Linked DNA regions of Lonchura striata. The protein of the gene in region 1 purifies or fractionates together with the protein of each later gene. This does not show direct contact. Links are inferred from orthologs where the notes say so. Each region holds a gene or a part of one and is shown on either strand. Other genes may lie near its edges.

What was found.
Region 2: the proteins of ITGA6 (region 1) and CD151 purify together in Homo sapiens (co-immunoprecipitation; 3 studies listed by BioGRID and IntAct, with this or other methods). This does not show direct contact. The link is inferred for Lonchura striata from reciprocal best matches to the Homo sapiens genes ITGA6 and CD151.

Annotation. Positions count from the first base shown.
Region 1 is NC_134610.1:20,599,764-20,615,061, forward strand, and holds the start of ITGA6 (integrin alpha-6), read left to right. Parts: upstream 1-8,612; 5' UTR 8,613-8,707; coding exon 8,708-8,868; intron 8,869-15,298. UniProt on the Homo sapiens protein: Integrin alpha-6/beta-1 (ITGA6:ITGB1) is a receptor for laminin on platelets. Integrin alpha-6/beta-1 (ITGA6:ITGB1) is present in oocytes and is involved in sperm-egg fusion.
Region 2 is NC_134608.1:44,890,707-44,906,046, reverse strand, and holds the start of CD151 (CD151 antigen), read right to left. Parts: upstream 5,869-15,340; 5' UTR 5,798-5,868; intron 2,564-5,797; exon of another isoform or gene 2,530-2,563; intron 1-2,529. Other genes in the region: CRACR2B (EF-hand calcium-binding domain-containing protein 4A), read right to left, coding at 11,159-11,243, 12,248-12,324, 13,040-13,147, 14,547-14,661. UniProt on the Homo sapiens protein: Structural component of specialized membrane microdomains known as tetraspanin-enriched microdomains (TERMs), which act as platforms for receptor clustering and signaling.

The DNA.
Region 1 (15,298 bases):
ATTTGAGAAAGTTTGAAATAGGATGTTTGGGAGAAACTACAGAAACTAAGGTGACTTTTAATCCAGGAATGTAATAGGATTTGTAATGAGAGCAGTGCTAGTGGACACGTGGAAAATACAGAATTTGCAAAGGGACATCATGCCTCTTGGAATTCTTTCAAACAGGCAATGACTCTGTAGATAAAAAGATGAGTCAGTTGTCACAATCACCTTGGATTTTTCAAGTTGCTTCGAGCCCTCAAGGACTTAAACTGGCATGCAATGATGAGAAAATCCTTTTGTAGATTCAGAGATGACTGAAGAAAACAGGAGGAATTCATATTTCTCCCAGAGAGAAATATTTATGCCATTTGTTTGCCATGTTTGAAAACCTAAGAAGGGATGTGAACATTAGGGACATAGTCTTTACTGCCAGTATACATATTTTGTGGGTCAAAATTAAAGCTGATTAAAAAGAAAAGTTTCTATATAAATGACTGAGAAATAAAATAGCAAGACTAAGGTTCATATTGTACAAATAAACTTGCTTCAATTAAAAAACTGACTTGTTCCATTGAGGATCTTGGTCTCCATATGGTAAATTCACCGTCTTCTCAATGGTTCATAGCAATCAGAAAGAGAATTAGGAAATTCAAAAATAAGGAATTACAAATTGAATACCATGTGAAGTAGGGTGTAGAATTATGCTACTGCTCTAAATCCATGTATTTGCTTTATCTTGAATGTTTTGTGGTATTCTGACAATTCTGTCTCAAGAGGCAGAAGTATATAAAGGTACAAAGAATGCCCAAAGTGTTTAAAAACTGTTAAAAAGTGTTTAAAATTATATCTATTTGATAGATGAATTGGAAAATGAGACTTCTGTGTAAGAAGAGATCATTGAAGTGGGATATGACAGAAGTTTATAAAATAATGAATAAGATGACTACAAAGTGTTAATTCACATCTGATCATATAACAGTAGTGGAGCAGGGGAGTTTGAAGTAGAAAGTCCCTTTTCACACAGTGTACAATTTATTTGCATATCTTGTTTCCACTTTGCTGTAGAGGCCAATAATATAATTACAAATACAAATTGGGTTATATAAATTAGAAACTGTTGATAAACACAGTGGTCTGGATGAACCCATGTCCAAACAAGGTCGGTAATCTGCAGAGCACCAGCAGTAAACAGCAAGAGAAGATGCACTGTATTACACATTGTGCAGAAGTGACCTTGCAAATTTTCAGGTTTAGATGGGCTATTTTTCTAATAAGGCACAGGAGGAAGGAGAATTCAGAAACCAGCTCTGGCTGTGGGTTCTGCTGCAGCTTCCCTCAATGATACTGGGGCACTCTGTTGCCCTTAAATAGACCACCAATCTTTTCCACTTGGAGATTGCAGTAATGCTATATGTCACAGGGGAAGAACGAAAGTGCTTTGGATAGTACTTCATGCTCGGTGTGGAACACACATCATTACTGTAGAATATCTGCATTTTATTTTATTAAGAACAGTTCCACAGTAAAATGGGCTAGTGTACCTTTATTTGCAATCAATGAGCAAATTACAATGCCTTTATCTACCTGCTAATTAGGTTGCTCAATTGCTTAAAAGTGGACTTTGATCCTTGGAGATGCTGATTGACTTTAGAAGAAGCTGGGTAACAGGAACTGATGCATGTACTTTACTCTGTGTGATCAGAAATTCACAGCAGTTTACTTGCTTGTATGCTAGAAAACATAGTATTTGTCTGGTGTGTCCTAAAAACACACACCCACAAGTAAAGAAAGCAATACATATGTGTCATGCAGAAAATGATAGGAAAGGTACAGCCCTAGTGAAAACTGAGAACATCTCTCCTGGACTGTATCATTTTAACTTCCTCACTTGTTTGTGTTCCCAGGTGTGTGGAATGAGCTTGGATAGGTTTGGGGTGTTGTCTTTGAGATTTCTGGTGTGAAAGACATGTAAACAAAAAAAGCAGAGCACTCGCAACATACCCACACAGGGACTGATGATTGCAGTTAAAAAAATATAGTTGTTATAATGCATATTTTAGAATAATTCCTCTTATCACATAAAATAAGACTGGGCTTATTTAAATATGATTACTATATGAAAGTTCAAAACCTTTTAGAACTCCCCCCCCAAAAAATTACCCCTGACAGAATTAATTTAGAGAGTATGACCAATGAAGTGATGCTCTGAAAAAAAACCATTAGAGCAGTTACAGTGTACAGAAATGTACAGTGTTTGTGCCATAAATATTTTACCAATTCATAATGTTACTGAAATAATTGTTTAAAACTCAATGCATTAAATTTTGATTGCCTACAAGGCACAATTTATTTTACCTTTTCATATGAAGGTGCTCGAAATTTAGATATATAGAAGGATGGGGAAAAATAGTGAAAAAACAGAATACACAAGGAATAGAGAATTCAAAACTTCTTTTGAAACCTTTCCAATACTGTATAAAAATTTGCACTTTCATAATTAATGAATGACCTTTCCTTCTTTGACCTAGATTTCAGTTGTTTGCAACAAATGAACAAAGGAAAAAAAAATCATTTGAAGTCAGCGAAGCCAGCACAGCAGCTTCCATAAAAACCTTTGCCAAACTGATTAGATTTGCAGTTCACTCACTAAGCCTGCCTGGTCATGGTAGCATCATGCAATGAATATTTTCATTGAATAAATCTGGAATTGAAGATGAACTAATTTTTTTTGTCTGAATACTTCCGTAGTGCTTGCTTAAACATGAAATTGTTTCTGATTAACTCACGTGTGAACAGTCTTATTCTGAAAAAAAAATTCTTCCTGTTGATCTTAATGTAGTTGTTTAATAATTAAACAGAAGCAGTTAATTGGAAAATACTGCATATGTGGACATCCTCAATCTTTTTCCTGTGATAGCTGTAAATGGTTCAAGGTTGGATAAAATATAGTATTAAAAAAAATTCTTCCTTGGATAACAGATTGTCTTATTTTGTTGATTTTAATTTCTTAATTTGTTTGACTAAATGAGAAAGTTAAAGCATCTGATAGTTTTTTAATATAAAATGGTACAGGTAGATGGGCATCAGGGTAGAAGAATATTTTGTTTCTATAGAAAACTTACGAAACTCCAGAAATTAAAGGTTGCATTGTTCAGCAGGGAGCTTATGAGAACTGCAGTGTGTCTCAGCCTCCACATAATTGCTGTTCATATACAGGCAAAGCAGGGAGAACAACTTGCTTTTCCTTCAGTTAGTAGCTCAGATCCTGAGTGGACTGGACCTTTAAAGACTTGCCTTTGTATAATTAACATTTTCATCATTGTTAGTATGTTAGCAAGTGAGACTTAATATAACAAAATATTGAATTTACTCATTATGGACTGATTTAAAAGACTATGATTAATTAAAACAATAAATTTTCCAGAAAATAAATAGTTTTAACTGGTGGTAATCCAGAAGAACTAGAAAGAGATTTCTGTAGTGCTCTAGTCTGTCTTGTCCAATTTGCTTTTCAGAAAGCAGGATGTTAATCTAAAGAGAAAAGTGAATATGTTTGTTAGATTTATTTTTGTTAAAAAAAAAAAAAAAAAAGGAAGACACGTTTTCTATTAGCAAAGAAAAAGTAAAGGAAGTAGAGGAAGCATCTTTCTGAGACTGCTAGCTTTAGACCTTAACCAGAGAAGCAGCCCTAGCTGGCTTTGTCTGCAGCTGTCTGAAAACCATGTTTAAACATGTCTTGACCACAGGTCCTGTTGAATCAGTGGCAGACACAGTTTGGTTAGCACATGCAAATGAGCTGGCTGTAGTACCAAAATAGTAGAATTTCTAAAGACAGTGGATACAGAAAAATTTAAATCTGTTAGAAAAAAAAGAAGTTGGATTTCTTTGCATGAATCACTAGAAGCCTCTGTGCAATCGGAGGGAGCTTTACCTCCCCCATGGAAGCTAACAGCCAGCTGGCTGGCCTCACAGCTGGGTCTGCTCCAGGCCTGATGGGAGGACAGGTGTAACAAGTGTGGAAATGACCAAGCAGCTGTTTCCACTAGTTTGCTGCCAGAGGCACTTGGGCTCTCAGCTGTGCTGTTACAGTAAGCTAGATCATGACCTAGAGACCAGAGTCCTTGAGTGACTGGAGCTCCTGATCTTGTGCCTTGCAGGTTCTGTCCCAGGGCCATGTCCTGTCCAGCATCAGCACCCAGTGCAGTCCTTGGAGGTAAGTGCTATCAAAGTTGTGTGGAATTGTGTTCTGGGTGATGGCCAAAGGCTCTTTAGTCAGGTCTCTGTGAGCTAGGAGAGTGAAAGTGTCCTGAACAATAACCCTTTCTGTCTCTTGATGGGGTTAAAATATGTCCTGTGAAGGTTTGTCTTGCTTTCAAAATTCCTGGGGAAAATCTCCAGGGAGGGCCTGTGAATAACTTGCTTGTAAACCTTCTCTCTTCCCTCCCTGCCAACACCTACCCAAGAAATACCTTGTTTATCTTTCAGATCTCCTCTGCTTCCTTATACGCCATTGTTGGCTGCTTTGGTGCAAATTAACTAATTTAAGATGCACATTGAGGGAGAGTTGGCTAGAACTACACAAAAGTTTGCATCTGGTATCAGGTTATGTCTCTCTACACTGGTGAAAATTTCTCCAAGAGAGGCAAGGTTTCATGTGCAGGACATATGGCAGATCAAGAAAAGCATGAATGGTACGAATGGGTCTGAGATGCAGTCAGTGATACAAATTTCAGCTGTGGTAATGTAAGAGCTTTGGGGATATAAATGTCTCTGAGAAAACCACAGAATGGGGCTGCAAAGGTGCCTGTGATGTGTATAATGATGTTTCAGCTTCATCTTGCCTTATGGTGGGGCAAATCTTACACAGTGGTGTATGTTACTAGTGAATTAAAACACAGGCATACATTCAAAATCGCTGCAACTTTATGCTTTAGTTTTAAGTAATTTTGAAGGTGTATCTTTAATTCCTTCCATAGAAATACAAACTATGGCTGCTTGATTCCCATTTGTCACCAATGTTCCTCTGATCTCTGCACAGCTACGCTCATTAAGTGCCTCCTTGTATGTTTACATAGATGTTTACTCTCCAAACAGTTCTCGTCATTCTAAAACTACTTAAGGAATGTACCTGACAACTTGGGTGGAAAAACATTCTCTAGATGTAAAAGACTGAAAGAAGTGCTTCAGTGTTCTTTGGTGAACACTGGTCTCAGTGTTCACCAAAATTCCATGTCTGGACTGAAATATTTCTTTTGACTCATATTTTTATTTGTGTAATACTACATCTAACAACATAAAATATTTTAACATTACAAGCAAGTAAAGGATGGCAGAATGTCATCTTGTTGTTTTAGACATCAAAGAGAAAAAACCAAAGTTATAGGAAAGTAGTAACATCTTCATTTGGAACTGTTGCTTAAATAGAGCAATTAGTAAAAAACCTGCATTTTGGTTACCTTTCTGAAAAAATAGTAAAGAGAGAGAGACGGAGACATTCCTCATCCAGTTATAAATGACATAAATACAATCAGTGTTATGTCTGTGTAAGTGAGAATACCAAGTGTGTAAATATAACTATGTTCATGCTCTGGATTTAGATTGTTTAAAGCAAAACATTTTGCTTACATGGTATTGAGCAATTTATTTCAATCACCATTTGAAGCCCCTTTATCTCCCATGCTGCTGTTTGCGATTTCTAATGATTGTTAGGGAACTAAGAACAGCTATGAGGATATACTGGCAAAGATAGTCTGATAACCTGGCTGCATAAAAATGCAGGTGTTTCTTGTAGCTGTTAAGAGGGGTCTGTTGAATAAATGTATATAATTTTTCTAGAATGTGCAGTTCTAGAAATGGTATGGATATTGTGTTCAAGAGAAAACATCCAACCATTCAGGCTACTAACACTTAAACCTAGTTTATATTTCTGAATTGAAACAATGCTGTATCTTTGGAACTTTTATAGTAAACCAAACTTTTTGGTGATATCATTTTTTTTCATCCGGAATTACATAAATTAAGAAATCAAGCAGTTTTTAAAAGGAAATGGGATGGGGATGTTTACATATTTTGTCTTTTCAGGACCATTTGATGTGCTGCATTAAAGCTGCACAGCTGAACATCCACAAACTGTGTATTTCTTTGTGCAGTATATTGTTGATACAAAGGATAGAATTTCAGAAATGTAAAACATTGTGCCTTGCCTTCCTTCTAGGGAAACCCTTCAAATGTCTTGCCAAGCTCTAGCTTCTGCATTCCACCTCTTTTATTTTCCAGAAATGATTTTTTTTTTTTACTTTGTAATTAGCTACGCAGTTGTACAGAGGAGGAAAGTATTGCTGGCAGTAATGCATGTGTCTACACATTGAGGCTTGCTCATTGTGTAGACACAACATGCAAACATCTTGTAGCCCTTCAGCCGACTATCAACACACCATTAATAAGCAGACAGCTTGAAAACTCAGCAATAGCACAGTGTTTGTTACAAAAAAGAGAAACTGCTTTGATCTGGCCACTGCATTTGTTAGAATCGCTGCGTTATTATGCATAACAGAGTGCTCATGTTTAATTGGTCATCATACCTAATCTTCGTATGGTCCCCCTTTATACCAGGATTGTAGAGAAGAGGAGTTCCTGAAGTATGTGTTAGCTACAGATAACTCACAGTATGTTTATTTTGGAGGAAGAGCAAAGGAAGGAAACTGACATATTTGTAAAACCTTTCCCCCCCCCCCCTCTCTCCTCATCTAGAGCAAATGAAAATAGTACGGAATTATGAGAGACCATCCAAGGTAATTCTAAGCTGTTCATGTGCAGTTTTGCTCCACCCTGTATACACTCTATTTTTGTTGTTCTTGCTGTGGTCCCTTGAGACAGGTGTTAATGTTACTGTGTCTTGGAATGCTTGTTACTGCATCTGGAGATGAGAAAATTCTGTCTCCCCTCAGCAATCTTTGTGGATATGAACAAACAAGTACAACATGCTCAGGCAGTGCTGGTTAGAGGGAGGGGGAGAAGTAAAATAAAACTAATGTGCCAGTATCATTCAGGAAGCTCTGGATGAAAGTACTTCTGTGACTTCTTGCAAGTTACTGAGTACAAGCATTACTTAAAAATTAACTATAGTTACTATAAGAGTATTAGAAGCACACAAGTTTTGATTGTCCCAAAACAGCTAAAACTTTGGTACAGATATCAACACTGTTTTAAAGGACTTGTTTTCAAATCTTTACTAATTACTGTGAAATACGTAGATGATAGTAAAACAGCCTGTAATTAGTCTGGGACCCTGCCCTCTTACAGGTCCTTAAGTGAAACTAAGGCAGTATTTATGCCAGTACAATTTTCTGCTGTGGCAGTGATTGAACACTGGATTAAGACTTTGAAGGAGTTGGGCATGGAGGAGCAAGCAGGGAAGGACTCTATTAGTAATAAATATCTGGGAGCTTAATTTAACAAAATGTTTTGTTTCCACATTAGAAACACAATTCTGGTGCATTTTCTTCCCCTCTTTTGATCAAGGGTGTTTTGGACTTGAGCCAGACTTGTCTATACATGGAGGTATCCTAGAATAATTACTCTGGAAAAAGTACTTTGGATTAACTCTGTGGGAGTATTGTTTCAGAAGGAGTTATTTGGAGTATCAACAGATTTGAGTGCTCTGTCTCTATTGCCCTTTTCTCAGTTTCTCTGGAATCTTAGCTTCTTCTCTCTTTGTACTCTAGATACCAGTAGAAAAGAACAATTGAGTATTGTCATGCTGCTAAGAATTTGTGAGGTTTTAAAAACTTGCATCTGCTTTCCTAAACCAGAGCACTAAACCAAGATTCTGTTCAAAAACTAAAACCTCTCTGTTTCTCTGGAGTGGGTTAAGTTGATAAGGTATGCTGGCAAATAAGCTTTTGGAGTTATGGGTGAAAGCATGAGAAAATGACCTGGGATCCAAACCAACATACTGTTTTTGAACAATTAAAAGGTAGGAATAAAAAATTTTCAGATATGTTCAGAGACAGGAAATGCTGGAGGAGGAGATTCAGGTAGTCTTCAGTTTCTGTTTTCATGTGGTCTGTGAATAGTCTGGTAAAAGAGAGATTTTATTTTTTTCCCAGTCCTTTTTTTTTTTAGTTCTTCTCTTGCACGTATGAAGGAATTTGGGGAATACAGACTCAATACTGGGATCATACTGTCCATAGTTCTGTACCAACCTTAGCACATTTGGGCAATGTTATGCCCATGGTCGGTACCCGGACCGACCTGACGGCGCTGAGCAGCAGCCAGACCGGTATCAGCCCCCCAGGGGGGCATGGTTTGATGGCTCAAACACATCTCCCCCCGCCGTGGGAGCTCTCTGCCCTTTTCCCCAACGGTGCACGGGGGCTACGGCCCGCTCCTCACCTGCGGCCGTGACTCGCCCCTCGGTAAGGCTTTATTTCGTGTCGCGAAGCGCAAAGCCATCCGAGCCCGCGGCCGCGGCAGACGGTGAGCCCCCTGGGGGCCCCGGGAGGTGATGGGCGAGTCACGGGCGGGGCGACGCCCTCGGCTGCCCCTCCCAGGGGAAGGGGCCCGGCCCCGGGGACATTTTGTGCTGTGCCGGGGGCCGGGCAGCCGCGGAGGGCGGGGCGGGGCGGGGCGGGCCCCGCGCGGAGCCGGCGGGGCACAACGGGCGCGCTCGGCGCGGGGAGCGGCGACGGCGCTGGCGGCAGGTTCCCGTGCCGGGCAAGAGCAGATGGCGGCCCTGCTTCTCCTCTACCTGCCCCTCCTGCCGGGGCTGGCCGGCGCCTTCAACCTGGACACGGACAACGTGATCAGCTGGAGCGGGGAGACGGGCAGCCTCTTCGGCTTCTCCCTGGCCATGCACCGGCAGCTGCAGCCGCAGGAGAAACGGCTGTAAGTGCACCTCGCCCCGCCCGGCCCCGTCCCGGGCCGCCTGCGGGGACCCTCCTACCTTCCACCGCCGGGAAACTTCCCCTGGCGGCGGGCCGGGGTCGCCAGCCCCCGCGAGGTGTCCGGCCGGCGGCGGGAGCGGGGCCGGGCCGCCGGCGGCCCTCCGAGGGATGGGCAGCACCTGCCGCGGGGCGCTGCGGAGCCGGGGCAGCGCCGAGCGGCGGGGACGTGCGGCGGGGCGAGGGGCCGGCCCCGCGCCCGGGGACCTGCGCGGAGCCGAGGCTGGAAAGGGGAAGCGAGCGGCAGCCGCCGCTGGGAGCCCTTCCCGCCGCGGCGCTCTCCTGCGCGGGCCGCGCCGGTCTGCGCCGCCGGAGCCTCCCCAGCGCTCGGGTCTGTGCTCCGCGGCATACCCGGCCTCAGGTAACTCCGGGTCTGCTGTTCGACACAGACCCTGCCCGGGAATGCAGATGAGAGGTGATACAAAGAAGTTAGGAAAAATAAGTCGGGGCTAGTGATGTATGCATGAAACTTCTTTTGGGAAATTACGAAGGCAAAATAAGGCTCCTGTGTACATCGTCAGCATCCTTGCTGCTTTGTGTCCATAGCGGAGCAGTGGTGGACCCCACCCTATCCAGTAGTGCTGGATAGCGTGTGAGTGTAAAGTATTATTGTTAAATAAATGCCTCCTCCTCAAATATTTAGTTTTAATTCAAGGCCAGATACATTCATTATCCATATAGAGTTTACGAAATGAGGAAGCTGGAAAGATATAATATTCTTCATAAAGTTAGGTGGTAAATTGAAAAATCCTGTGGGCTCATTTTGCTCACACTTGCGCTCCTGTGTGATTTCATAAAAATTACAGTGTGTAGAGGAGTATAAGTCACATACACGCATGTTTCATCTTCCACCTAGCAGATAAAATGACCCATAGTATCCTGAGGAATGAAATGCAAATCTATGAGCTCCTTTCCAGAGGCCTTTATCTTAATTCTTGACAGGATTACGCTTGCATAAGTCTACTTTTAGAGTAGACTCTTTTAGTACGACCAAGAAAGCAATGCCTGAAGCTTGTTAGTCTCCTGTTGTATTGTCGGTCCTGGCAGAATGAGTGTGTAGGAATATGCAGACAGCCAATTACTGAGAAGAAAAAAGCAGCAGAAACACAAGGACAGTCACAGTATTCAAGCTGGTATGTACTATTTGGCTGAAATGCTTCAGAGATTATTGGCATGAAAGTTCTGTATTGTATGTCTAGTAAGTGCTTCCTCAGGCAGTCAAAGAGCAGAGCCAGATGCTATCTGCCTTGACATGGCTTTCTGAATCCAGGCTTTCATGAGAAGCAAGGATCTCTATTAGAGACAAAACCAGGCTAGACAAACTGCGTTTTATGGTGACATGTGCTTCTGAGTATGAGGTGTCTTGGCCATTTTTCAAATCCATGAGTTTTAGCATAAATAATTGGAAAGCTACCCTGGGTAGCTGCTGGGTAGTATGCTTGGAATGAAACCTTTTATGTCAAACAGGCATGTTGTAGTCACTTTGAACATAATTTTTGTGTCTGTAAGAGTTGTAGTATGTGGCTTTATGAGAACAAGACATTAAATATGCTGAACTGTAGCTGTCTTAGGGACTGAGCTGTGTTTAGCTCACTTTGAGTTCTGCCTTCTGAAGAAGGAGGTTTGGTGGGGAGTGTTAAAGAGAAGCCTTCCATGTTAGGCTGCATTTTTATATCAGATAAAAATGAACTAGGATGAGCTAATACCAAAGGATTTGTGTGGTCTTTTCCATGGATTGATGGATTCTTCATAGCTGGAACAAATGGTATCTGCTGTCTGGATACTTGGGGAAGGTAGAAAGTTATGGGAACAGGAGGTCACACTGAGGTCTACTGCTGAGAAACAGTTATTTCTAATGCCTTCATGCTGCCTGTTACTTAACAGCAGGACTCAGGGGTGCAATACCTCTGCATTCCCAGGTGCGTTTGGGTCTGTCTTACCTATGCTGCAAAAGTGAATTTATATACAGCTATCTCTTAGTCAGATAGAAGTATCTGTTTTACCCTTTCTTCTTGAATAGATGCTAATTTCAAAATACAGTTACATTTAGAGTGTGAATACTGTTAAGTAGTTGCCAAAAATACAAAAACTCCCAATTCATACTGAAGCATAATTAAGAGTGATACTTGGAATCTCATCTGGCAGGGACCCTTATTTCAAAGAAACCTGTCAGTTTGAGCACCTTTCTGTCCCTCAAGTTTTACAAAATTAGGTTGTCATTAAGCATGTGCAGGATTAGTCCATCTTTGGAAAAACAAGAAAATGAGAGAAAGTAAAATACACTGATTGTATTCAGGGGCTAATGGCTTGGTAAAACAAATTAAATTATGTGTAATTTTCCTCTTACCTCACTTACGCATTTGTTAAGTGAAATGGTTCCCTCTTCCTCACACAGGAGTGTTCAGTGTGATTTAATCATTGCAATAATCCTCTGTAAAGATGCGGGTGGAGAATGTCTGGGAGGTGTGACAAAGGTACAGCTGAAATAGCCTTTGATTAAACATGGTATTTGCTTTTGACCATCTTTTTTGCTTAGTCACAGAATGTTATGGATTTCATATTAGCTTTGAATGGCAAATTAGTTTATTAGTGTTAGCTACAAATGCCATGTTTTCTAATTGCTTAACTTTCACCATTATGAAGAGATGACTGTTCAATTGCTTTGACATTAGTTGTAAACGGTGCTGAGTATAAAGCTATGGACTAATAACAAGATTTTGATTTTAAGTATCTTCAAATTAGAAGAGTTAGAAAGTTTGTCAGGTGGAGAGGAGAAAATCTTTTATGGTAACTGAAAGTGGATTGCTAATGGTATGTGGGTGTGAAAGACAGCTGAATGCAAACTTTATGTGCGTTGCGGAACATTAATGTTGGGGGTACCAAGGCAATCTCCCTGGATTTTTGTGTTTGGTTCTGGCTCATTGTCAAGCACAGTGAATGAAGCAGCAGAAAAGGCTGATGGAGCTCTAAAGGATCTGGGTTTGTTGCCCTGCGTAAGTTTGTTCTGTTTTTAATCTATAAATATGATGAAAGGTAGTTCTGGTTCTGCAGGGGAATGGTGGCACAACAGCAGCACATTTCATCTGCAGACTGGAAGAAGGTTTGTAGCTTAGAGGGGTCTGTGACTGGGGGCAGAGCTATAGGAGAAACATGTAAAATGTATGTGGTTCTGTGATGAAAATGTGAGTGCATCCAGCATCTCTAGATGGGGACTACACTGATCATGCATTTATTTGCTACTCTATGTTATATTACTGTTAGAATAAAAATACAATTACTAGCTACTCACTATATATATAATTTTATAGAATATATAGAGATACGGTCTGTATGTATGCATATTCTATATGTCGAGCAAATCCATTCCAGTTTGGCTGTAATTCACAATGATTTAAGCATCTTGAATTAAAACACAAGCATCAAGAATATCTAAATTTGTATATTATTTTCATTGAGTCCTAGAATCACTTGGGTTGGAAAAGATCCTTAAGGTCAGTCCAAGTGTAAATCTTAACACCTGCTAGCCAGTTTTTTTTTTTTTGTTTAGAATGATAGAATCACAAATTGTCCTGACTTGCAAGGGACCCACAAAGATCTACTAGCAAGTAATTTTGATATTATTTTCAGTAGAAGTAGGGAGCTGAATTCAGGTAAGTTTCTTGTTATTGTGTGAGGCAAAAAGGGTACTGTAGTTACTAACATTTGGGATTCTTCCATCAGCTGAAAAGCTGTAGTGAAAGCTGTGGATAGGCACTTTATGTCAAGACTGCACTGTCCATTACCAGCCATAAAATCCTAAAAATTGCAGTGTCTTACTGAAAATTTTACTTGGTACTGGTTTTGCTGATGCTGCACGTCTCTACTGTGAGCTTTTATATCAATACATAACAAAGTTGCCTTAGGTCAGCAGATCTGCTGGCATTGCTGTACTGCTGCAGTGCAGCCCCAGTGGCATTTAGCCAGTACTTTTGGGTTCTCTGGGGGCTTGGGCTCAGAGATGCTTTGCTTCAGCAACAAAGAGCTGGATTATGCTGGTCTGCAGTGGAAGATGGCAATTTCTACTTGCAGAGGTGGTGTAGTGTAATTCAGACTTTGGGTGAACTGAATTAATGCATGTTTACACCTTCAGGTTTAAAAGCTGTAATAGTGATGGTCCTTAGTTAGTGCTTCTGTCAATTAAAACATTGACAAATATTTTTTCTTAGGCTGTGATTTTACTGTGTCACTGATCCTTGTATTTTCTTCTCTTGAGTGTCTTTGCGATTTTGTCTATGCAAACTATTCTTAGATAACCTGCTTAGTATACTTACTTGCTTTCTTAGTGATAGGAGGCAGTTTGTAGAGGAGTTTGTGTTTAAGATAAATGGCCTGTGGCAAAGGTCAGGATCAAATGAAGTTGGAAAGGAGGAGTAGTTGAAGAGTTTTCTTGTAGTGGTAAGGGACAGATATTCAAGGAAGATCCATTGTGCTAATACCATGGGTGAAAAAAGTGAGGTGAATTTATGTTGTATAAGGGATCTGTAGTTGTTACAGGAGGAGCAAACTGCAGAAGTCTAGCTTTTTTCCCAGTACTGATTTTGAGTTATGTTCTTGGTTATCGGTGGCAGAAGCCAGACAGGTAGGTTGGCTTCTCATAAATGCTTTCATAAGGCCTAACAAGCAAAGAAGAGTGATTACTGATCTAATTTACTGCTGTATGATTTCTCCACCAAATAAATGAAATTAGCATATTGGGTTGCCTGGCATCTTACAGCAGTAAATTGTTCATCAGTCAGCATGGGCCATTCTTTTTTCCTCTGTTAAATTCCACCTGCATGTGCCAGAGCAATTCTTAAGTTTTGTAAGGAATGCATTCTGGTAAATTCTCATTGGAGATAGCACATTCATTTTAAAAGAACTTCATTTAAAATCAGCTATTGTTTAAATGTTTCAGAACTAGCCTGGGTCTAGATGAGTCATTCTGGCCATAACTGTAAAAATGCCATGTTCTGAGGACATAATCTGTGGAAAGGACAAGACTGAGGTAAGGCTATTGGGCAAATGCCATTTTAAGAGCAAGTAAGTAAAAATCCATATTATTGTATGAGCAGATGGTGGTCTGTACTGTGAAACATTAGCTGGAAAATGAGCACCTTATCATGGTATTTAGCAAGGGTAGGTAACAGCACATGAATATTTGAGAAACTATGCAGAATAGTCTGGAAAACATGGAATAATTGCTTTATTAGCACTAAATAGTTTTGATTGCAATATACATAAGCAAGTTACTGCTTTGGAAGTAATGGGAGAAGAATGTAGCTTAGAAAACAGACATAGACGTGGAAAAAAGGTTTAACTTCAATTTTTAAAGGAATCATTCTGTATGTTAAAAATAAATGAATTATACCATAGGTTAATAAAGCTCCTTTTGCAGCTGTAGTATCAAACATACTGTATTCTTCTTAAAATGTACTTCCCTTGGATTTAATGTATTTTGAGTATCACATTTTCTAAGATTATTTTGAGAATTCCACAGCAGTTTCTTTAGAAAAGTGCAGTTGTTTTGGTTTAGCTTAAAGAACAGGCTGTGTGTATTCTGCTGTGAAGTACCTGAGACAGATTTTTGTACCAAAATACCAGTGAAAGGCAAAAGGTACCGCTTCTTGCATTGTGATTTTTGGAACATTTACTAGTATGCATTGATCATTTTTAGATCTGCTGGAGCAGTGGCTGTTTTTCTTTTTTTCTCTTACAGAACTGCATCTAAAAAAATGTAATTTCCTAATGTAGATTTCCTTCAAGTAGTTGAACTAATGTGTGTGAGGATGATTAGACTGTGTTAGGAAGGGAGAAGGTCTGCTGAATCAAGGGAAAAAGGAGGGATTTATGGGATGGGCCCTGTCAAGATGCCATCTGCAGCATAAAAATGTACTCTAGTCCCTCCAGGGTAACATGGAGAGATCATGCACTGGATTTCACTGCCAGCTAGTGAGTTTCTAGGCTACTCTTAAGCTGTATTCCTTGCATTTGTTTTCTATTTTCAAGATGTTTGGAGATCATCTAAGAAATAGAGAACAGCAGATTGGAATTATGAGTATTGTTGAGTTTGGTGATAGCTAGTGTCGATAGGAACGGCAGAGTTTTCTTAGACTGAATGTTGCTTCCTTTTTAGTGAAGATGACAGTTTTTTGGAAATGGAGCTGTATGTTTAGTCTCTGCATGTTGCATCTGTCATTGTCACCTTCCTCAAAAGTAGGTCTATAAAATATATCTTTAAAAAAAAAGAATTGCAAATATGCTGGAGACAACTTCACTCCTGTATTGCCCGGGGTTGTTTGCTCAGCAGCACATGCATGGGTCAAAGGTCTGAAGGAAATGCATGTTTATCCTGGAAG
Region 2 (15,340 bases), on another chromosome or scaffold:
CCAGCAACCAAGTACAGGTCAATTCCTCAACAAGTGGTACTTCCACACAGGACTGGACTCACCCTTTCTATGCTTCAACAGCCAAAAGCCCAAAGTCCAACACTTCCCCATCCACACATTCCCTGCACACAGCACCTGACACAGAACGATGAGACTCTTTCCTGCTCCCACATGTCCGTGTGCCTGGCTTCCACACTCACTGTACACCTCTGGGATGGCACACACAGCTCCCCAGCCCCTCCCCAGGAGCTCTGCATGCAGCCTGCAGTGACCATGGAGAAAAGGAGCCAACCATCTCTGTTCCCAGGGCAGTGTGGGGGTGAGATGTGGGATATGAATTTCTCCCTTCTGGATTCCACCAAAGCTAAGAAGAAATACTGACATTCACAAGCCATAACTCACAGCTGCCTTGTCAGACACTACAAAAGTCCTGCTCACTGGCTGGCATGTCAGAAATGTCAGCATGGCTGCCATCTGCCAGTTGGCTCTGATAGTAGATAGATTTGATCAAAACCATCCGTCCTCACTATTTTCTTTATTGTTGCACCTTGGTGGACAATGAGGGTCAGAGTACTCCCTAAAAACCACAGAGGGATTGTGGCTGCTACTCTAGCAGATAACAGGTCAGCGACTCACTCCGGACAAAACAGAAACCTCTCCCACAGTAATTCTTACCTCCCACAGTAATTCCTACCTCAAACCACTCTTACCAGTTTTAACTGAATTTCATTAGTGAATGAGCCAATTAATCCATTGTTCATCCTCCAGCTATGCTGGTAAGTCACATGCTTTTACTGAAAGAGGTGCCAAGGACTACTTTCAGTCTGTGTTGAGCTGATTGCACTCCTGAGATGCACCTACTGAGTTGTACAGCACTTTTCTGTCTGGGAGTGGACAGTCCAGCAAGATCAGCAAGATCCAGATGCAGCCCAGACTCCAAAACACATCTGTTATTCTGCCATGCAATGCCAGTAGTGCAAAACAGTAATCACCTGCCTGATCCTTCTCCTGCTCACTTCCACTGTCCAAAGGAGTAGAAGTGTTCCAGGGTCAGGTATCAGACACATTTCCACCTCAACCATTTGTAAGCACAGCAGATCTTTCTCCCACAGCACCTCCAAAAGGTGTTTCTTTCTTTCAACTTACCCCTCTCCTACAGTGGCAAAGACATCTGGGAAACATGCTGCAGATCTCCCAATTCCATTGTGTCTCAAGAGTGTTCTGTGACATTCACATTCTCTGGACAAAGAGACATAATTCTGTCTCTCAGGAGAAGCACAGAGAGAAGAAGAGAAAACAATCTTTATCTCTGCTTCTTTGTTTTCCCCATGTGGAATGTGGTATGGAGATTGTTTACCTGAAGTGATTGCTTGATTGGATTCTGATGAAGGTTGTTTGGGTTCAATGACCAATTGTGTCTTGGACTCTCAGCAAAGAGTCCTGGGTTTTGTTTGCTAGATAGGTAAGTAAGAAGTATGTAGAATAGTACAGTATCTCTTTCAATAGGATATTAATGTAATATAGTGTAGTTTTAATAAAGCAGATCCTTCAGCCTTCTGATCTGGAGCCAGACATCATCATTTCTTCCCTGAGTCAGGGCACTGCATTTTTTGCTATAGTGTCCATCTTCCACATCACAGCTACAAGGACAGATTTAACTGAAGCACAGGCACTCACCCTTACAACTCTTCCACTGCCCCAGCTCCCCACTGCTGCTTTCTTTCTTATAAAAGTAAAGAAAACCTGGGCTGAACAAGTGAACTTTGCTCCTTTTGTATTCAGATCTGGCACCAGCCACAGATAAGAAACAATGGTGAATGCCAAATATTTTATGTCACCGACTTCTGCCTCAGCTTTTCTTTATGAAGCCTCATTACTGCCGCCAGGAACAACCTGTGGGTCTGAGCAACATCCTCTCTTGCACCTCCCACACATCTTATTTCCACCTCTCTTAAGAGGCCATACCACACCCCACATCCTCCACACTCCCTCTCTGGGATGCACTCACCTCAGCAGGCAGGAGAGGCGGCTCCACGGCAGCCTACAGGGATGCAGGCAATGCAACGTCCATCAGAGCTGCACAGTGTGTATTTGCTTGGCTGCACCCTGCCAACAGTGCCAGTACATCAGCACCCAAATGAATTTAAACAGCTGCCAAGGACATTCCCTCAATTCTTGCAGAACAGAATTCTTGATGTCCTTCTTTATCCCACTAAACCAGTATCCTGCCTTCAATAATGTCAACCTACTACTGGCATCAGAAGCATGCAAGAAATAAACACACAAACACACATACATATGTAACTCCATGAAAAGCCCAGCTAGCATGTCATGGCATCAGTTCCTGCTTGCATCCTTCTAAGGAGCTGGACACACTTTCAGTCCCACATTGATCTTATTGCACTCTGGCCATACAGAGCTGCATAGCAGCTTGGATTGGGGTCATAACCACCTGACCAGCACAAGAAACTCAGGCTAGAAACATGGACCAAGCTGGTCACACCCAAATGCCCAGACCCCAAAACATACCTCTTACTCAGCCATGAAATTCCAGGAGTGGAAAATAGTCATCACCCTCCTGCTCATTTTGCCAAGAGTTTTATTACTGCCAGCAGCCAGGACACAGGGCTTAGTAGGACTCCCTGAATCCATTCCTCAGGATCCCAGGCTGTTGAGATCACAACCAGAGGAGTCTGGCAGGCAGGACAGAAAGGAGCACTGAAGAAAGATGCCCATCAGCAGTGCTGCTACTACAGGGCAGCTCCCTGCCAAGAAGGCCTGGCAGCCAACAGCTTCTGTGCTGTGGGGAGGGATGGAATGAGGCACTCTCCACAGAACTGACAGAATACCTCATCTCCGTTCCACACACCTACCATTCCTCATTTCTCCTTCCACACCCTGGCTTCAGACACAGGGTAGAAGGGAAAAGCACACTTCTCACAGACTAGGAAGATGGTCACCATCCTGGGGAAAAGCACTGTCAAAATGCATGTACAAAAAAGGATGAGAAAATGGGATGGTTTTACAGTGACACTGTCCATTTCATTTCAGCTTTGCTGTGGCAAAAGAAAAACCATATTTAGGGTCTGAAAGGCAGGATGAGTGAGTGAGATAGGAGACTTGGTCTATATCCTTAGGATCTTGAAGGTTTTAAACAACAAGGGAGACTACGACTTCTGTTCCTCCAAGCCAGAGAAGCTGAGATGAGCTGTCACTTCTAGGAGCACCCCTCCCTCAGGCTTTCCATGACCTCAGCTGTCAGTGCACATACCCAGGGAGAGCTGGAGATAACCCAGTGTTGAGCTCAAGAGCAGAATACAGTAGAGTTGAGGGGTAGAACATCCTCTCACAAGGCTTAAGGAACAAGGCTGATGAAGCCACTGGGGATAGTAACGGTAAATTGGGACATGAAAATTCACAGCTACCCTTTTTGCTTTTCAGAGGCTGTCAAGTGTTTTTCTTTCTAAGCTTCTGCCTTACAAGTCACAAGAAGAACAGAAGGACAGTATAATTGCTTCATAAATGACCAAATTACCTGGAAATGCCAGACAGGATAGTCTGCCACAAGAGGGAACACATGGTGATAAGAGATGTTACACAAACAAACACATGTAAATACACATTTTCCATCCATCCAGAACCAACAGTTCAATGCGTTCCTGGGCGAAGAAGCCAAATTATGCAGAAGGAACAAGTGAATTTGCCTGTGGGATAACCTGGCTAGAAGAGACACAGGTCTCTAATCAACCCCCTCAGGGCTGTCTCAAGAGTAAGGGAGTTGTTGCCTTCTTTGCATGTGTGATGCAACAGTTCAAGCCATGATAGAACTTTTATTTGCTGAGAATGATAGGCCTGCTGGAAAGTTCCTAAGGGGAAAGAGAGCCCTTCACAGCTACTCCCACTGAACATTTTTGCTTGACAAAAAACCAGCAGCTTTCTTCCACCCCCTTCATGAAGAATGCATCACACCCAAAGAGAGAAACTTTCGGACACTGCACTGCAAGTAGCAAATAAAACCCCTTTAACAGACCTGCTCTGAGTTAGGAGAAATAAAACTGGTTAAACTCTCACAAAATGTACAAGAGGGATTAACCACCTCAGACTTCAGAGTAAAATGAAGTGTCACACATGGTATATTATTTCAAGCACTCAGAAAATACGTTTTTCTTATTGATCCCTGAAGCCAGCATACAGCAGGGAGTGCCAGGACTTTTACCAGGCAACTGGGGGAGTCATTGTCCTCCTCTGCAGAAGCCACAGGACAATGAACACAAGCAACAGTTTGGAATGAAACATACTTTTTGCAGAAATACAGCATATGACCAGAAGTAAATACAGGCCAGGAACTCAAAGACATTATCAGCAAACTATAGAACAAGGATGTGATCTGAGGTGAATTACATGGAGTTCAAAAGCTGCCACCTCATCCAGCTCGCAGCTCAAGCTTCCAGCTGGCTCACAGAGCAGCTGTAGCCAGCCCACCTGTGCAAGCCAGTGCTGTGCCTTTGACAGGGACCTGTCACCAGATGCATCATATAAAGTATAAGTGATGCTACCCCAGCTTCCAATAATCCACAGACTGGGAACTGCCTGTCCTAGGCCCACAAAATGCTTCAGAGAATATAAACGCACTGAAACTTTTGCACTGACTTTTCTAGTTATGATGAGCTTAGCCACAGCTCAGCCAAGACAGGCACTCTACTCCCTTCACCACAGACAGTCCTTTGGCAGCAATGACAGTCACCCAGGAGGACTGGGACAGACCTTTGTCTTACTGGTGGGATGCTAAGAGACTCTTCAGCCTCCACAATACCAGCTGGTAAGACCGCTCGTCACACCAAAAGCTTCCCTAAGAACCATGGCATTGGACATAAATGTGTTTTCTGAGAAAGGGACGTCTTTCAAAACTGTCTGAACAAACAGCCTCTGATGGGTGATGCTATTTCAAGTCAACCCTTTTTCATGAACCCTCAGAGAAAGCCAGGAAGTGCGGATGGAGGACAAAGGAAATGAGCAGTGCAGAATTTAAGGGATGCTACACAGTAGCCAGAAATAAAGATATGTCACTGCTAAAATGCAACAGGATACTGCAACAAGTTGATTACAAAAGCCCTCAGGAAAAGTCAGACTTTAAAAATAACTACCGCAGTTCACGTTCTTCATGAGAGGACAAGAAGAAGAAGCTACTGGCAAAGATTCCTCATGGCAAGCAACACAACGGTGCAGAAATAACCCATTGCCATCAGCTCCCCATCTGATGCAGCTTCCAGAAAAAGAAGGGAACAGAACATCGCCTGGACTGCGTGGTAAACAAGCGCTCGTTCTCTCCCTCCTCCGCCTACAAGGGTCCTACAAGCCCAGCAGAAAGGCCAACTCTTAACTGTACAACAGGGAAATCTGACTGAACAAAAGGCAGAAGGGGGTAAAAATCGTTTCACCAGATTTATGGCAACATTTCAGAACGCCTTTACTAATTCCGCGGGCTGTGCAAAGTTATGACACCAGCCGCAACAGGTTAAAATACTTTCCTAAGAAAAAAAAAAAAAAAAAAAAACCAAAAAGAAACAAAAACAAAGCATACAAGGGCCAAGCCCCTGCAAAGCTGTGCAAAGCCACAGGGCGCTGGAGGGGAAGCCAAGCAGCGCTGCGGCAGAGCCGGGCCCGCTGCCGCACGGGGCCCGGGCTCTGCCGGCTCTCCCGGGCTGCCGCCCCGGCCCTTCCCCGGCCCGCTGCCGGCGCCGCCGCGCCCGCGCCTCCCCGTCCCACCGGTGCCGCCATGTCGGGCGCTCCGCCTCACCGTGGGCCGCCGCTCCGCGCCGCCGCACGCCCCGACCCGCCGCGCTGCCGGGAGGCCCGGCCGGGAGGGAGGGCGGGAGGGAGGCGCGGCCGGCCCGGCCCACCCCGGCCCGGCCGCCTCCCCCGGCTGCCTGCCCGGGCTGTCCGCAGCCCTCGGCTCCGGCGCCTCACGGTGCTGCTTCCATTACAGCGAACTCCAGATGGAGCCGCTTTTTTGGGTTTTTGGTTTTTTTAGGAGTCAGATCCGCTTGTTAAAAGTGTTCTCCATGAAACCCTGTAAAACAAGATCAAGCCCTGACTGGCACATTGCCTCATCCTCCCATTACCTCACTTGAGCCGCAGCCCTGTGCGAGGGATGCTCCCAGGAAAACACCCGCTCCTCTCCGCGGCGTCTCTTGGTTTTTCAGGAGTGGGACGAAGAGAGGAGATCTGGGCAGGGAAGGGAGAGGCCAGTTCAGAACCTCCTGCGTGCTTGCTTTAACTTCTCCATGTGCCCAACTCAGAAATCACTTCATCCTTCCCAAGGAGTAAGCTCGCTTTAGCTCAGAGCAGCTGGAGATCCAAGTGATCAAATAGAGCCTTGGGGGGTCAGCTTGCTTGCACACTGACAGATTTGTTGCAAGGAATATGTCGCAGGATCTGGAAGCCACAAGAGACACCGGCCCCTGCCCAGGTCCTGGCCCTCCTTGGTGGAGCCCTGCGTAGCCACCATGCTGGGCAAATGCCTTCTTGCCATGTCCAGGGATTTCATGCCCAAACAGGAAACCACACAACCCCCCCAACCCAGCAGATTTGGGTCAGTGAACGGGCATGACCAGGCACAAGTGCTTCTTTGTGCTTGGGAGAGCCTGCAGGCAAAGGTGAGATACAGCATAGGATGCCCATCTCCCCGTCTTCAGTTTATTGCTGGAGTAATAGTTTTTTGGGTTTTTTTACTGCAGATACTTGTTTACCTTGAGGAGACTAATTTTACCTGGTCAGGTCTTCTGTGGACTAGTGTTTTCAGAAGTAGCACACAGCCACACTTGTGTTTGCAGCATGGTACATATATGTATATAAATATGCCCTGCAGGCTGGAGAGGCTGGAGCTGGGTTATTGTAGCCACACCAACCAAAATTTCCTTGTGACTCATCAACAGCCAGTTCAGTAATGAGCACCTCCTAACAAAGCTCTGAACTGCAGGGCCCCAGGTCTATTTACACTGAACACGAGATTGCCAAACAGAGCATTTGAAGGTGTATAATGGGCTGTGAGATACATTTTTCATTGGAGATTAAGTACTTGGTCAATATATGTTACATACAGATAAAGATATTACAAAAGAAAGGCCTTATGAAATCAAGCCTTGCTCTGCTGAATTACCAGCTGGACTGTTACTTCTTCTAAGTGCAGCTAAATTCTCAGTTGAAGGAGAATGAGAATCCATTTGCATAACAACCTATCCTTAGAAAACTAAGTTGCACCTGTAATAAACAAGAAATCTGTCCCACAGGAGTCAGGGAACAAAATATGTAAACTAACAAAATATAGAGATTTGACAGACATACGCCCTAGCCATTTACCGACCAATAAACTGTGTCAGTGTATTGTTAGCCAATTAGGTCTAACAGTGCCTTCTGAGATCGCCTATAAATATGAGCTTTGTGAATAAAGAACTGACTTTTCTGCATGAAGAAACCGAGTCCCGTCTACTTATTAATGCAATAAATATATATATTTATAGTCTAAGCAATCAACAAGTAAAAAGATCATGAAAAGACACAGAAGAAGGTGACAGGACAAAGTAATATGTGAGTGAATGCATGAGTTACCCATAGCAGTAACTCATTAATTGTATGTAAATGGAAAAGGTCCCTTGGACCTGGAATAAAGAAGGTACTAGAAAACAACATCTCAAATGTTTGAAATTTCTGCATTTATACTGTGGAAAAGCTTCAAACTTAACACCGTGGCTTAATGCTCTCTTTTCAGCCCTGTTTTGGCTTTTCAAAGAGATGCTGTCAGCCTAATCCTCTTATGCTTACCCTTAGTATATTGACACGAAACAGATAAGTGAAAGCAAAGCAGAGTGAGGTCCCTTTGCTGGCCTGCAGGGATTTGTGGGGCCATGGCTACTTATCAGAGCAGCTGGCTTTTATGCTTTTGCCTCTACGCCTGATTGTGTACACAGGTGCACTGTTGCATGTTCCAGGATAAGGCTTCCCAGGCTGCAAGAAGAGTCTTTCTTGTGATATGATTCCAAAATACTTTACAGATTATGTGCAAAAAGTCACTTGTTCACTAAGAGGCTGGAGCCAATATGGTGAATGTATAAGCCCCCAGGCAGTCTTATTTTGCATCCCCCCTCATCTCATGCCCCTCAGGGTATCTCATTATTTGCATTTATGCTAGAGTTTCCAGCAGTCACTTACAAAAGGTGGCTGCTCCCAGAGCTTCCATTTAGAGGCAGGAGAGATTCTGACAAAAAAAGGGAATGTATTAAAATGAAGAACTTTTTGGAAATTCTGGTCTCCTTTAGGTCTGATATCAGACAGGTTTGAAAACTAGCAACATATCCCTTTAGATTGTAAGTGGCTGAGTCTTCCAACAGGACAATGTAATCTTTGTGCTGAGAGACAACAAAAGATCTTCCAGTAATAAACCCCACCCTGCTGCTTACCGTTGTCCAAGCTCAGTATGCTCAAATTCTGTGCCATTTTGTCATCCTTGAAACAAAAATCCACCCTTTCCTGCTTACAAAAAGTATATGTTACAATTAACTACTTCTGTTATCAGTTTATAGCAGGGGAAATGAGTAACAATTTGTTTGGTCAAAACTGCAGAGTGATTAGTTCTGTAATGCATGAACATCCAGCTGGAGCCATGCCAGGGCACATTAGAAGCAACCAAATTCCTAACTCTAGTGAAAAGGATGCATGGGACATTAATAAAATAAAGTTTTAATTCCATTAATAGAGGTGACAAGGTGAGAGTGGTTTCAGTCTCTCTCTGAAACCACTATACCCCCCAGACATTCAGGAAGTGTCTCCCCTTTTTCTCCTCTGTGCTCTGCCCTCCGTAATTAGCTGGATGGACTCTGGCTGCTTAAAGGAGGTAAAAAAAGATAAGATTAATTTCTCCTGAGCTGCCCCCAAGACATGGGCTCCTGGTTAACTCTTTCCTTGCTTGTAAGACTCCCTGTGTACCACCATGCAGGACAGGCCACTGCTAGAGCAGTGAGTAGGGAGGGTCACACTAGGATCAGTGATTGAACATGGGAGGCTGAATCTCCTGCAGCACCTGAAAAAAAATCTCTCAACACAACCACTTGTAAGACAGCATTTCTTTATTGCCTGTACTGTTTGCACACTAAGAAAACATACTTAAGGTTGTACATTGAAAGAACCTGCTGGTTCTTGCCATTGCAGTATGACAGCACTGATAAAGGTACTGGCCCATATTTGTGTGTCAGGTGTGTTTCACACCTTTGTCTTAGGTGTGCTGTGTACAAAGCGTGGGAGGCACACATTCAGAACATCTTAGCATGGATTCCCCTTCCCAAAAATCACTCCTTGCAAACACAAGTAGTTCCCCTGGAAACACTGTAGGTCTTACTCCAGGCTCCACACCAGCTACCCTGGTTCCTTCAGGGCCTCTTGTAGCTTTCCAATTCCCAGTCTCTGGAAGGCATTAGTGCAGTTAAACAGTGTTAAGCCACAGCCAGCCAACAGTAAGGACTGAACAGGATCTTACTGCTTTTAGCTCTTCCTTTTACTCAGAAATCCTGCTCATCCAGAGAAAAACTTCCTCTTTCCTATCAGAAGTAAAGGGCACCAGAAGGAACCATGGAAATTCTTTGTAATACTGATGTCTGTAGGGGTGACTCAGAGTACTTTTCCTGTCTGGGATATTCCCAGCAAAAAACGTGCAATAAATAGGCATTCAGAACACCCACCTCATCCCAAGAGAGGAAAGACCATGGACAAGTACTGGCCCTTCCCTATACTGCAAGATCTGCGGACTGCATCACAGCTGCAGTATCTTGTGCCTAAAATGTCAGAGTCACATACAGAAACAGCCTCGAAGACAAAAGGGGAAAGGGCACTAGCAAAAATCTCACTTAATCCCAAGGCTTTGAGAGCTGAGCTGCAAACCAGAAAGCATGGCACCCCAGATGCTCTATGCCCAGGCATTGTGGCAACTTTGCCAATAGGAGCACTTCTGGGGACAGTTTCTACCTCTGCCCTGCTTCTCCTTGCCCTGCTTTGCCTGGACCCTTAGTGACAAGAAGGTCCCTTCCCAAGGGGAACAGATTGAGTCCAGCTCATTCTCAGGCCCTTCACCAGTAAAGCGAGGCTGGTGCTCCAAGTCCCGGCAAGAGAAAAAGGTACATTTCACAGGCAGCTGCTTCATGCTTCCAGCCCAGGTGCTTTTGAAAGCACTCTAGTGGGATCTTTCAGGACAGAGGGTAAGGCAGTTCCAAGTTGCTGGAGATTCTTCAGGAAAGGATAAGAGAATGGGAGGAAACAGGCAGCATTCAGCCTTAAAACAGGCTATATATGGCTCCCCTGGTTTGTACAGCACAAAGGGCCCATCCTGCAAAGGACTATGAATCAGCAGCACATGCCAGAGCCTGTGGGTCCCAGGGCAGCTGCTCTGTGTTCTGTAAACATTCACTTTAAGGACAGTGAACAGGTCCATAAGGGTGACAAAGCAATGAAAGCCATTGGGATTCATCCTATCAGTTCCTATTATGATCACATATAGAATCTGTTAACTACAATATTGGCAAGTCCAACCAAATCCTGCAGTAAATCCAGGGCCCAATCCAGATCTTGCAGGAAGTGGTGGAAGTGTTCCCATCACAGCAGGCTCTCAGCTGAGTACTGCTTCTGCAGAACCAAGAGGAGATGCTTCTCTCTGAGACAGGTGGATCACTACTTAGAGCTAGCCCAAATTTAAAATATTTTCTTTCCTTCTTATACAGAAATTCTATTTAATACAGACCCACTGTGTCCTCTGGTCTCTGCTGCTAGGCCACTTCTTTTCCAGAAAGAACAGGAACAAGACTTCATTCCTTTACAGGGAACAAACCTCTCCAAGACAGAAGGCCCAGTCTGTGCTACTAGCTAAGACTAGCCAAATTCTCCCAAAGAAGCAGAGGCCTCTAGAGACCAGCACTGCATGCAGACTTGGAAGTAGAACAGTGCAGATAATATGCATATTTTGGCCTGATTTATGCCTCAAAATTCACAGACTGGGAAAAGCTGCACCTTCCCCAAGTCTCTAGAGAGCTGATACCACCAAATTCAGCTTGCCTGAAAGGAACCCCCAGCTTCTTGATACAGCATTGGCACATGTCTCATGCTGACACGTTGTGCTTTATGTGCAGCACCCTTTCCTCCTGCTGATATCCTCCAGCTGCAGGGCATTCTCCCTCTGCCTGTCTTCTTGTGCTGTCAGCAACCTGGAAAGAGTAGCACAGATCAAGAATACAACCTGGTTACTGAGCTCTTCCTGCCAAGGCATTTGCCTCTACCCTTTGCTCTCCACCAGCCATTTAGGATTTATATTTAAGATTGCAAGAAGTGACAGGCCCAAAGACTGGACTTCTCTGGAAGTTCAGCTAGATAAATGACATACAGAGAATGAGCGTGAATTTCCAGGGAACATGGAAATAAACTGGACACATACAAGAGGGGGTACCATGACTTGGTAATCTGAACACCAGTGTGAGTGGCCTGTGCCTTTATTCCCAAGATCCCCCATGGATGTCAGAATCCTGGGTTGTATGCTCCACCAGGCTGGGCCATCTTGGGCAGCACCATGGTAATAAAGCATGCTGAAGGCACGTGCTATGGGAGCTGTGATTCACCTAGCTGACAAGTAAATCCACCCAGTTAATGAACAGCTAAGTCCTGCTGTGGCTCAAACAGACATGGTGCAGGAGGAGGTGAAGAGATCAAAGAAAACAAAAGGATAGTTTTCTTGTGAGATTTTAAATACTTTTCCCCAAAAACTACCCTTTTTTAAACTAAAAATTTTGGAGCAAAGTTCCCTCAGCTGAACAGTATCTTATCTCATTTTTAAATGATTGCCACTGAAATAGCTCAGTCTGTACAGTGCTTATTAAGACAGGGAAGAAAGAACCCTTAGAGCTGCATGAAAACTTCAAAATGAAAACACCAGTTTAAAATCTGGGACAGCATGCAAGGTTTTTGTGATGAAATAGTCAAATTGAACTCCTAATCTTGCAACAGCCAGTTCTATCAGGTGAAGCTTTGTGTGCAAGGAGTCCAGTCTACACTTGGTGCTCTTCAGGCACAAAAGACAAGGACCTGGAGTCAGGTTTCTTTTGGGATTTGACAGAGTCAGTCTCTGACAGCCCCCTCTTCTTGCCCATTCCCCAGGAGAACCCACACCAGTCACCGCCAGCTGGGGAAGCGTCCCAGGGTGCTCCTGTTCACTGACCTGGCCATGTGCAGCATGGGCTCCATGACGTTGTAGCCAGTCATGGCACTGCACTCGTAGAACACAGCCTTGTACTCCTGCCAGAGAGCACAGCAAGCACCCATGGTGACTGCCAGCTCTCCACCATCACCATTCACCCAGAGCCTTGGGAGCTCGCCCATCCTCATCCCCAGGAACCCTGCCAAGAGCCATTGGAGCCAGGAGGGTGGCTGCTACCCTGCTGGGGTGCACACCCTGCTCACCAGCCCAGGAGGACGAGATACTTTTTCAGCATTGGGGGCCAAGCCAGCGTGTCCAAAAGGAAGCACTGGGGGAGTTGTTTGGGAAGAGAAAACATCAGTCCAGGGTACTTTGATTCCCTTCCTTTTTTGCTGTGGGTCCAGAAGGCAGGAAATACCTTTGAAACCCTGTCTCCCCCCACCCAGGGGCCAAAGTGCCAGCAGGCAGGCAGTCAAGGGAGTGAGGAAAGAGGCAGGATGATGTTCCATTAGGGAGTTCTCAAATGGGAAATCAGCCATGCATGTTCCCCTCAGAAAGACTGAAATGAGGCATCAAGCCCCATGAGAAATACATGAGCCTCCTCAAGGGCCATTGTCTGCCACATACAGGCCACCACCTCATCCTCCCTTGTACCAGAGGGACCTGGGTACCTGTCCACATTGGAGAAACAGGGGGTGGGAGGCACCATACTGGAAAACAGCTCCAAGAAGGGCTTTCTGCCAGCCAGACTGCCCTGCTCACAGCTGGAGGGTGGCTGCAGAGCAAGTCAAACAGCAGAGCACCGAGTCACACCTTTGCCAGCCTTTCCCCCTCCACCTTGGGTACTTTCCAGGTCTCTCTCTGTACAGCATCCAATTTATTTCCAAGCAGAAAGACCACAGCTCCATCCTCTATACCTTCCTGCAAAAGAAATAAAGACCCCTAAAGAACCAGCCACTCCGAGCAGATCCTTTCAGCCCACCAAACAACACCTTCAGTGGCAGCAGGATCAGGCCCATTAGACCATTAAAGGGCCAGGGATTTGTGAAATGAAGCTTGAACTAGGGAATCATTCCAAATATTTGGTAGGTTGAGCTGGGACAGTGGCAGAGGGGAGACAGGACATAAGTGTCTCTCAGGAAAATAAGAAGCCTAAAGAAAAGCAGCTTTCCCCATAGGCATTTTGGAATTTGTTATCTGGCAGTTCTTCTTCATAAGCTCTGTAATTTTTGTATGTGCAGTACTGTGTCTAATGTGCTGTCCTAGACTCAACAATCCCTTGCTGAAAATTCTCTGGATGAGCAAGTTCACCCCTTGTAAATTGTCTCCATAGGAACTGTTATTCTTAGGCAATTCCTGGAGCACCTTACCTCTGGTCAAACTCTATAATTCCACTGGCTCACTAGAACATGGTCAGAGTAAGAAAAGGGCTCAAAGTTATTTCCATACTCAAGTGCCCTGGATGACATACAGAACCTGAACAGCTTCAAAACAAAATAAATACAAAGATGGGGAGAGGAAAAGAAGATGGAGATTAAAATACACAGATTTCATTTTGTGGACTCAATTTAACCTTCCTCTTGAAAGGAACCTGATTTGCAGAGGCTGGTTAGTTTTGAAGATCTTAACATTTGATCTTTTGGAGTCCAAAGACCTAAGTGGTTGTTTGGGTTTTTTTCCCCAACAGGCTTGTGGAAATTAACAATACTAGAATTCTCCAATCTATACTTACTCCACTGAGATCTTGGTTTTTTGAGACTCAGAACAATCAAAACAAAACCACCCTTGAAAATTTCCCTTCACCTCTTGATTATCTACACACAACTAATTTAAAGTATAAAGAGAGGTATTTTTGTATCCCCAAGAAGATAAAAGCCACAGATAAATGCTTTTAGTGAGTATTTGGAAATAAAGGATGGGGGAAACCCAAGAGTATTAATACATTGTTACCAAAGTTTAAATTAAGAAAGGAACTAAAAAGAACCACCTCCCTTTCCTGTGCATAGGCCAGACACCAGGAGATCTCCCTGCCTGAACACAGGTGAGATGTGACCACGTTTAGGAGATGTAGCCAGTGCACATGGGCTGCTTACAAACCCACACTGCTCTTGAGAAACAGCCCTCCCTGGTTTAGTGGGCTACCACTGGCTTTGTTACCTTTGACACAAAGCCTCTGATTCTAAACTGACCAGCACAGGAATCTGCTTTGACAATTCAGCTTCACAATAGGACTTCCCGGGGCAGTGAGAAATGTCACTTCCAGGCAGGCTGTTGGAGCAAGGGAGCACCAGCAGCACTGGAGCCCAGGTCCCGCTCTCACCTGGACGCTGCTCATCCAGTTCCGCACCGCCAGGAAGGAGCACTCGGCCGTGATGTCGTACATCACCAGGATCCCGTCTGCCTTCCGGAAGTACTGCTTGGTGATGCTCCGAAACCTGAGCCCAGACAAAAGCAAAGGCACCCTCAGAACCACGGGGAGTGAGGGAGTGGGATTGTCCGTCAGTGCAGGCTCTCTGCAAGGTCTGGCAGCACCCACACCTGATGTGTTACTCAGGGCTGGTGTCTACGCACAGGTGACAGACCCCTGCACCTTTGAGACGGGCCAGGCAGCCATGAGTAGGCAGGAATCTTGCCAAATGCATGGTGCTGAGAAAGCAAGAAAGAAGACCTTTGCAGATCAGGAAGAAATAAGCAGAAGAATCTATTTGGGTGGGATAGGAAAAGGTAATTTCCTATTAAAAGGGAAACTGATGGAAAAAACATGATCTTTCTCTATAGTCTGGAAGAATCTGCAGACTAAGCTGTACCACAGTACAAACTAGGCATGCATAATGCCTGTCCCAGGGCTGCCAAAACAGCAGTTAAGAACTCAGCATCAGTACAGTCTGTTTCCACTATTGAATCTATATACCAATGGCATCATGCATAAATAATCAGGTGCTAGACACAATTTCCAGGAAAAACTCCTGCCAGACATCTACTTTCTGTTGTCTGTACCATTTTAAACCACAGGCTTGTATTTTGTGAATAAATTCCAACAAAAGCAAACCAAACAACCAAAACAACAAACCCGAACCTTAGAATCTGTAAGCACTTTGTGACAGAGCCATGATA